2 linked regions of the Drosophila melanogaster genome follow. The protein of the gene in region 1 interacts with the protein of each later gene in a pairwise test. Each region holds a gene or a part of one and is shown in the gene's direction. Other genes may lie near its edges.

Region 1 (4,248 bases):
CTCGCGGCAGAAGAAAACTCAGAAACTAACCAAGGTTCCACTGTACTACCATGGAAAGTACAGCTTTCTGGCAGAGCGCGGTAGTCTGGAGGATGCGGACAGCGATGATGTCGACGGCGATGGCAAAATAAAGGTGAGTCCGAGTGACAAACAGCTTTCTAAGCCACTCTAATGCGTTCCCCACGACAGCTGGTGTTCACAGAGGAGAATCAACTGACCACACAGTTCATTGATTTGTACTCCAAGTTTCCCCAACTGTACGATCCCGCGCACAAGCACTTCTGCAATCTAAACGTACGAAAGTCATCGCTCATAGAGATCACTGACCTGCTGACTTCGGAGTTTTCGTTGGGCCTGGTCACCCACTACGATGTCTACGACAGTATTCAGAGCATGCGCCAATGGTATTCGCGACGGATCAAAACCCTCACAGACGTCCAATGTGTGGGTCTCTCGCTGGCCGAGAAGCAGTACATCGAGCGCTGCAATAGCTTTATGCCCACTAAATCATTCCGACAGAAGCTTAAATGTGAAGTCTGCGAGCACTCCTTTAGCACAGATCACGCCCTGCAAGCACATCAGTTCCGGGATCATAAGATGGGCGATGGAGGCTGGTTTCGCTGCACGCTTTGCGAGCTGAACTTCGACCGAAAGTGTCACCTGCAGCAGCACAGCCAGCGTGTGCACATGGACAAGAGCTTTGTCTGCGAGATCTGCAGCAGGAGCTTTGCCTTTGGAAATCAACTGGCTATCCACAAACGCACCCATGACGAGAAGCACGTCGCCAAGCCATTTGTCTGCGAGTTCTGCGGCAAGTGTTTTAAGCAAAAAATCCAAATGACAACGCACGTAACTGCGGTTCACACCAAGATCCGAGCCTTCAAGTGCGACATGTGCCCCAAGGACTTCCTGACCAAGCGCGACCTCAAGGACCACGTAAAGGCGCACCTGAACATCCGCGACAAGGTCTGCGAGGTCTGTCAGAAGGCCTTCACCAATGCCAACGCCTTAGTCAAGCATCGCCACATCCACAAGGAGAAGACCCTGCAATGTTCGCTCTGCACGACGCGCTTCTCGGAGCGAGTTAGTCTTGGCGTCCACATGCGACGCACCCACAAGATCCTCAAGAGCTCTCTGTCGTCAAGCGACGCACTCTTTACAAAGACATTCCCTCAGCCTTGAGACATTTCCAAACCATGACAAGTATTTACATTTGTTAATAACCAGAAAATATGGCTATAGTGCCAAAAAACATGAATTTTTTAATGTTCTTAATGTATTATTACTCCTAAATATTTTTTAGTATTGAAACAAGAGATTTTACAATATATTTGTCCAAGCTTGCAAAAATGAAAACAAAAATGTTTAAAATGATTTCTATTATTCTATTCTATTATTCGACATATTTGAATTGTTCGATTTTTAGATAATCCATCTGAATTTTCTTAATAAAGACTACACTGAGCACTATGCATTTGTATGCCTTTGTGATATAGTAACTTGAAAACACAAAAAAGCACTGAATTTTGAAATTGAAGGTGTAATAATACTTATTTTTATATCTAATTTTGGGTTCTATTGGCGTAGCAATTGAGCATATCAGGAGTACATTTTGCCTGCTAGCCAGCAGAGGTTCCTTTGTCTGCCGTTAGAGAAATTTGTCCTACTATGTCAAATGTTAGAATTTATAGCATTTTTTTATATTTATTTCATTAACTTCGGGTAATCAAAATTTTCGAAGTTATCAGCTCACCTATTCTTGCGCTGTGCAGCACTGGCCAACAGCTGTTCGTGTTTTGGTTTTCCGCGACGTGCTCGGTGTTACGTGCTCTGCACCAAGATTACAGACCTGGAGAGGAGAAATGAGCGGACTCCTTCCGAAGTTGTGGCGCCAATGTGAAGCGGGGCTAGTGCGCCGTATCAGCCAGGCACTGATTGGACCCGGCGCCAGTCAGAGCCGGTGGACAGGGACCCGTCTCCTGGCCACCAGTGCGGATAAAAATCCGGCCCCGGGGCTGCGGGAGCTGCCCCACTGCAATGTGGGCACCATTGGTCACGTTGACCATGGTAAAACGACCCTGACCGCCGCCATTACCAGAATCCAGTCACAGAAGGGTCTGGCGGAGTACCTGTCCTACGACCAGATTGATCGGGCGCCCGAGGAGAAGGCGCGTGGCATAACTATAAATGCTTGCCATATTGGGTATTCCACTACAGAACGCACCTACGCTCACACGGATTGCCCGGGTCATGCGGACTACATAAAGGTAGCTCAGCCAAAAGAACCAACCAATGTTCCACCAATTTAACGAAACTTTCTATCTGATCTACAGAACATGATCTCGGGCGCCTCCCAAATGGATGGCGCCATTCTAGTGGTGGCTGCCACCGATGGTCAAATGCCCCAGACTCGCGAGCACCTTCTTCTGGCAAAACAAGTGGGCATCCAGCGCATCATAGTGTTTATAAACAAGGCCGATTTGGTGGACCAGGAGGTGCTGGAACTGGTCGAGATCGAGATGCGTGAGATGCTAAGTGATTTCGGCTTTGATGGCGTGAATAGCCCGGTAATTTGTGGCTCAGCGCTGCTGGCCCTTCGCGAAGATAAATCGGAGTTCGGGGTTCCGTCAATTGAAAAGCTACTTGAGCAATGCGACTCTTACATACCAACGCCGCAGCGCGATATCTCGTCCCCATTTATCCTGCCAATAGACAATGCTTTTACGGTACCCGGAAGGGGAACCGTGGTCGTGGGAACCATCAAAAGGGGCACCATTCCCCGGAACGCGGATGCAGACCTACTGGGCTTCAATCAGAACCTGAAGACAAGCATCAGCGACATCCAGATATTCCGGAAGAGCGTGCCTCAGGCACAGGCTGGCGAGAACGTCGGCGCACTGCTGCGAGGTATTAAGATATCCGCCGTGGAGCGGGGAATGCTACTGTGCGCAACCGGCTCCGAGGATATATCCAACCACTTTGAAGGCTCCATGTATCTGCTATCGCGGGCCGAGGGTGGTCGTGTCAAGCCCATGCTCTCCAAGTATATACAGCAGCTCTTCAGCCAGACGTGGAATGTTCCAGCTAGAATTGACATAGGTAAGTTAAAAACTTCAATGCTGTCCACAAAGCATTGAGCAAATCCCATTGCAGTTCCAAGTGAGGCTATGCTTATGCCGGGTGAGCATGGCCAGGTGCGCGTCACGCTGCTGCGGAAAATGGTCATGACTCCGGGCCAAGCCTTCACAATTCGCGAGAACGGAGCGACGGTGGCTACCGGTATGGTGACGCAGCGCCTGCCGTCCCTTGACCTGCCCAAGAACAAGTTATCAAAAGTCTTCGTGGATTGTTAACGACTCGAGATTGTATTTGTAAAAATTCATAAATTGCTGTTCATTACACACGAGTACTTTCTTTCTAATATATAATATTTGTATGTGTTTAGGTAATCTGCTTAGAATGTTTCAAACAAATGCCAACGTAGTTTAGGCTTGCATAGTCTAACGACATATCTAAGAAACCCAACTAACGAGTTACAAGCTACGCAGAAAATGAGAATACATAAATAGATGGAATGCAACAGCAATGCATCATCGGTGAGCTCTATGAGTCTTACTCTATCATCTGTAGGCTTTACACGTTCTTTAAGGCAACAAATCAGCCTGGTTAAGTACAATCATTGTATATAAATATTTAGTTATGATTTAAGGTACAAGGTTTAGGCAAGAAATGATTTCTTATGGTCAGAGTCTAACTCCAAGCATTTATTGCGTTTCACATATTAAGGTTGGTTCTTAACCTTCCATTACTTTTGCTACAAATAGTTCGTACAACAAAAAAAAACACTTGGCATCTCGGGACGGGTACGCCATTGGATACTCGGAATGGATACTATTGGAGTGGATAAACAACGGGTATTTAAGCTAAACAGGAACTACACAAACATTTCGGCAAAACGGCTCTACTCAATGTTTCATTATCTAATCGATTTTCTAAATATAAGAACAAATTAAATTTCTAGAATCGTTATACTCGTATAATACACAAAAACTAAGCAGTGTAATGTCATCCAAAATGGCAAAGTTCTCGACCGGCAAGACGCAGGCACGCGACGTTTAAATCTTTGTAAGGAACTCGTCCAGATTAAGATGCGACGGTAGTTCAATATCCTCCAGCTTGATGTCACTATACCTGAAGACAACCTTAAATGGCTGAATGAACTTCTGGTCTATGGTGAATTCGTCACTA
Region 2 (4,161 bases), on another chromosome or scaffold:
TAACTTTAAATTCCCGCCCTTCGCTTGCATTGGTTTTTCAACTTTGTCGAACCAAACAACGCATGCATTTCAATATCAATTACGCTACTCTGATTTTGCCTCTCAAAATCCATTTGGCTTAAGAGAAGTTGCAATTTCATCTGCATTGCTGTATTTTTTTCTTTTTTTTTTTTGCATAGAAAAAGCTAACGAAAAACGTGAAAAATGTTTCTATATTCTGCCTGGATTATACACTTTTAACGGATCAAAAGTTTCATTTGCCATTTATCGAATAGAAATCGAAGACTTTTATCGAATTTGACATTAGCATCATGGAGACTCACCGATAGCGCCAAAAGTTCGTCATGGATTGCACCTCCCGCCGCTCGGCGGTGTCGTATTTGCCACCCACGCCCTCCTTGGTTAGGCGATCGAGGACCGTGTGCCGCAGGACGAAGTCCACAACGGCCTTCTTCATGGCGAACACGTAGTCCGCCCGGACTTCGGCTATGTTTTCATTGAGTGCCGTCTGCCACTTGTAGAGCAGTGGTGGCACAAGATCGGTTATCCTGCAGACGGAAAGCAGTTAGCAAAAAAGCAGATACATTTGAAAGTGTTCAGTGGAACGCACCTCTTGAGGATCTTCTTGCTCAACGGCGACACGTGAATGGTGTCAATGCCATGCTTGATGTAATAGTAATATCGCAGAATCTCGCGCTCCTCCTGGTCGGGAAAGGGTACGGCGCACTGGGCGGCCAGCTCGGGATCCTGGTCGTCGTCCATGTGCAGGATGAGCTCCACCAGCTTGCGGCGGAAGTGCTCCCGCTCCAGTCGCATGGTCATGTAGTTGGCCTTGGCCACGCCGCTCTCACGCTTCTTCTGGCGTTTCTTCTGCTGTTTCTTCGCGCAGAGTATGTTGTCCGGCAGGTCGGATTTCATCTTGCCGTCCAGCAGGGAGCTGGCGCATTCCGGCATGTTCAGTTCGTACCACAGGCGACGCGACTTGTACTCCGGATTGGCCTTTGACTGCAGGATGCTCTGCAGCACATCCGGCTTGGGTCGCGTGTACAGCATCTTCGACTTCTCGCATAGGCGGCGACCGCCGCATATGGACGTGAAGCTGGGGATGCTGAACTCCCGATTCGGATTCTGTCTGCCCTGCATGTTGAAGCCTGAAATCGGTTCAACGTTCGAATCAAAATGTGACTACAGAAAATGAAAATTGTTTTCAATAATTGTTTTTGAAACATAAAACGATTGTATCCCGCCGAGTTATTAATCAAAGTACTATTTAAAGTAAAAAAAAACACTAAAATATTAATTAAGAAAATAACTACGTGCGCCAGAATTAAAAAAAAAACTATTTATTAGGTTTAAGTTTTAAATATTTGGTTTCAATCCATTTCGAATCGGTTGTAACCGGTAATAGGTTGTAACATCCACTAAACGTCATTTGGCCAACGATAGCGTCGCCACTATCGATAGTCGCTTCGCAACAGCTGTTCTCCGCACACGCGCCCTACCGGCTTTTTTGCCATCCCTAACAGCCGAATTGTGCAACACGGAAAATTGTCAAAATTTTCAGTTTCAAAATTAATTGCTCGAATTAAGCACACAGAAAAGCCGAAAACTAAACTATCGACGCTTACCAGTCGTTCACCTATCGAGGCACCACACTCGCTTTGGATTTATTCGCGCCGCAACGCGATTAATTTTTCTTGAACCGAAGCGAACATACGAAGGAGTTGAAAACAAATGCAAATCTCACACAGGCTTTTCCGTTGTTTAGAATGAATTGATTTTCCGGGCAACTACTACATAGCGACAGGTCGGAAAACGGAAAAACAAACAAGCCGGCGAGTTGCCCTTGACAGCAGGCAAAGAGCAACAATTCAATTCGCACACAAATCACGCTAGAAATCATTTTGGCCTCCCAGTAAATTTCGGAAATTTTTTGGAAAAATGCTGCTACAAAGGTTTTTCACACGCGCACTTCACTCCACGCGGCAGCTTTATGCCGGCTCTGGCGGATCCGGTGGCCTGGAGAAGAGTGCCCTGGCGGCGCTGAGGAAGAAAACCGGATACACCTTCGCCAATTGCAAGAAGGCGCTGGAGAAGCACAACAACGACGTCGGATTGGTGGGTAGTTGGCTAATAGTTTTATTGCAAGCGGTGCAGTGAGCTTTCCATTACAAAGAGCACGAAATGGGGATCTCTACATTTTGAAAAATTGCTGATTTTTCTATATTATTATGTAATATATATAGCTGCACCGCATGCAAACTCCTTTGTGATCAAAACACATCTGTGCTAATCAACTCACCTTGCCATCATCTCGCTCTTGCAGGCTGAAAAGTGGCTGCACGAGCAGGCCCAGACCCTCGGCTGGTCGAAGGCCACCAAGGTCGCAGATCGAGCCACTGCACATGGTCTGATTGGAGTGCTCATCCGCGGAAACCGGGGCGCCATGGTCGAGCTGAATTGCGAGACGGATTTCGTAGCCAGGAACGATACCTTCAAGCGGTTCGTTGACCACGTCGCCTGCATGTGTCTGCAATACACGGACTTGACGGACTTCGATGGAGATCTGTGGAAGGTGAGCGAGATTTTTATGGGAAATGTACACAATATTTGGATCAGAACCGGTTTTGCATCCATTCCTAAAGAAATTGCTAATTAAAGAATGTGCATATCCTTTCAGCTTGGCTTTGATGCGGACGCCCTCAGAAACTTGCGCACGGAGGAGGGACGCACGTTGGGCGACCACCTGGCTCTGCTGATCGGCGCCATCGGGGAGAATGCCACCATCCGGCGCGCATTGTGCTTTAAGGCTAACAACGACCTGAAGCTGGTGGGCTACGCCCATCCCGCACCCACCAATGTGGGCACCACGGAAGGCATCACCCAGGTGGGCAAGTACGGAGCGATCGTAGCCTACCGATCCACGCACCCCCTGCTGGACTTTGAGTTTCACAAGAGCATTTGCCAGCAAATCGTGGGCATGAAGCCGACAAAGATCGGCGAATATGACAAGGACAAGCCGGCGGAGAACAAGGACGATGAGACGTGCCTGATTCACCAGGAGTATCTGCTCGATGCGGACAAGACGGTGGGCGAGGCTTTGCAGGAGCACAACTGCGAGATCGTCGACTACCATCGCTTCGAGTGCGGAGAGCACACGGAACGCAGCCTGGAGGCGATCATTCGCTCGCAGCACCAGAGCAGCAATTAACTAGCCATTAAGCAGAGTCTAGAACACTAAATTGTTATTAGCACAACAGCTGAAGATTGTTAAAACCGAAATTCTGGACAATGTTCTGGTCAAAATTTGCATGTAAAACAAGTAAAACAACCATTACGATCAGATCTCCACCTCTCTTATTTGAATACGCCATACCCCATGAGTCATGGCAAAAAATTGGGGTGACCAAGGAGAATGCGCCTGCGCAGAACGGGAAGCACGCTTGAGCGGCTTCCGGTCGCTGAAGCAGTGGAACCCGCGGGAAGAACGGGCGAATGGACAACGCCAGCAGAATGAACTGTTTACAAACGTGTTTTTTTGTTCTGCTTCCCGTAATTACCCACTTGGTCATGCGATAGCCCAAAAGAAAGAGCAAAAAGAAAGGTTTTTAGCTTTGGGGGCAAAGGCAAAAACCAAGTGAGGGTTGGGTATGCCACTTGCTTGGGGCTCATGTTAAGGAAATGGGAGTACGAGTAGATTTGGCCAGGGAGGAAAATCAAAATAGAAGAAATGGTTTTCCAGCCCTAAGAAATTTGCAGCACTGAAATATTAGCTACTAAGTAGGCCTGTCAAATAAATCCCTTTCATTATCAACCATCGATCGTCGTTAGAGATTCAATCGCCAAAATGGACTACCTGGACATTGAATCCTTCCGCTCCAGGTACAGCGACATAACCGTCACGGCCGTGCCATCGCGCCCCAAGGCGGACGAGGAGCCAGCAATGGACACCAACCAGGAGCTAGCAATCAAGACGCATGTGCCACAAGTGGAGATAACGAGGGTGAGTGGAGCCGCTTCTGCTGGCAGTAGCTCCACTGCGAATGCAGCGATGATGCTGCGCAACAGGCAGCAGACAAACAGCGCCGCACTTGCCTACGCCAACGAGTACAAGGAGGTGATGGCCAAACTGGAGTACACCAAGTACATGCAGGCCCAGTT

Evidence for each region.
Region 2: the proteins of mEFTu2 (region 1) and mEFTs interact in a two-hybrid assay, tested with the Drosophila melanogaster proteins (2 studies listed by BioGRID).

The regions. Positions count from the first base shown.
Region 1 is NT_033778.4:7,507,726-7,511,973, reverse strand, and holds mEFTu2 (mitochondrial translation elongation factor Tu 2), read left to right. Parts: upstream 1-1,616; 5' UTR 1,617-1,862; coding exon 1,863-2,267; intron 2,268-2,333; coding exon 2,334-3,099; intron 3,100-3,153; coding exon 3,154-3,353; 3' UTR 3,354-3,447; downstream 3,448-4,248. Other genes in the region: az2, read left to right, coding at 1-133, 190-1,182; didum (dilute class unconventional myosin), read right to left, coding at 4,116-4,248.
Region 2 is NT_033779.5:17,498,449-17,502,609, reverse strand, and holds mEFTs (mitochondrial translation elongation factor Ts), read left to right. Parts: upstream 1-1,503; 5' UTR 1,504-1,941; coding exon 1,942-2,118; intron 2,119-2,326; coding exon 2,327-2,575; intron 2,576-2,680; coding exon 2,681-3,211; 3' UTR 3,212-3,342; downstream 3,343-4,161. Other genes in the region: Dhc36C (dynein heavy chain at 36C), read right to left, coding at 324-548, 611-1,143; CG15142 (uncharacterized protein), read left to right, coding at 3,848-4,161. UniProt on the Drosophila melanogaster protein: Associates with the EF-Tu.GDP complex and induces the exchange of GDP to GTP. It remains bound to the aminoacyl-tRNA.EF-Tu.GTP complex up to the GTP hydrolysis stage on the ribosome.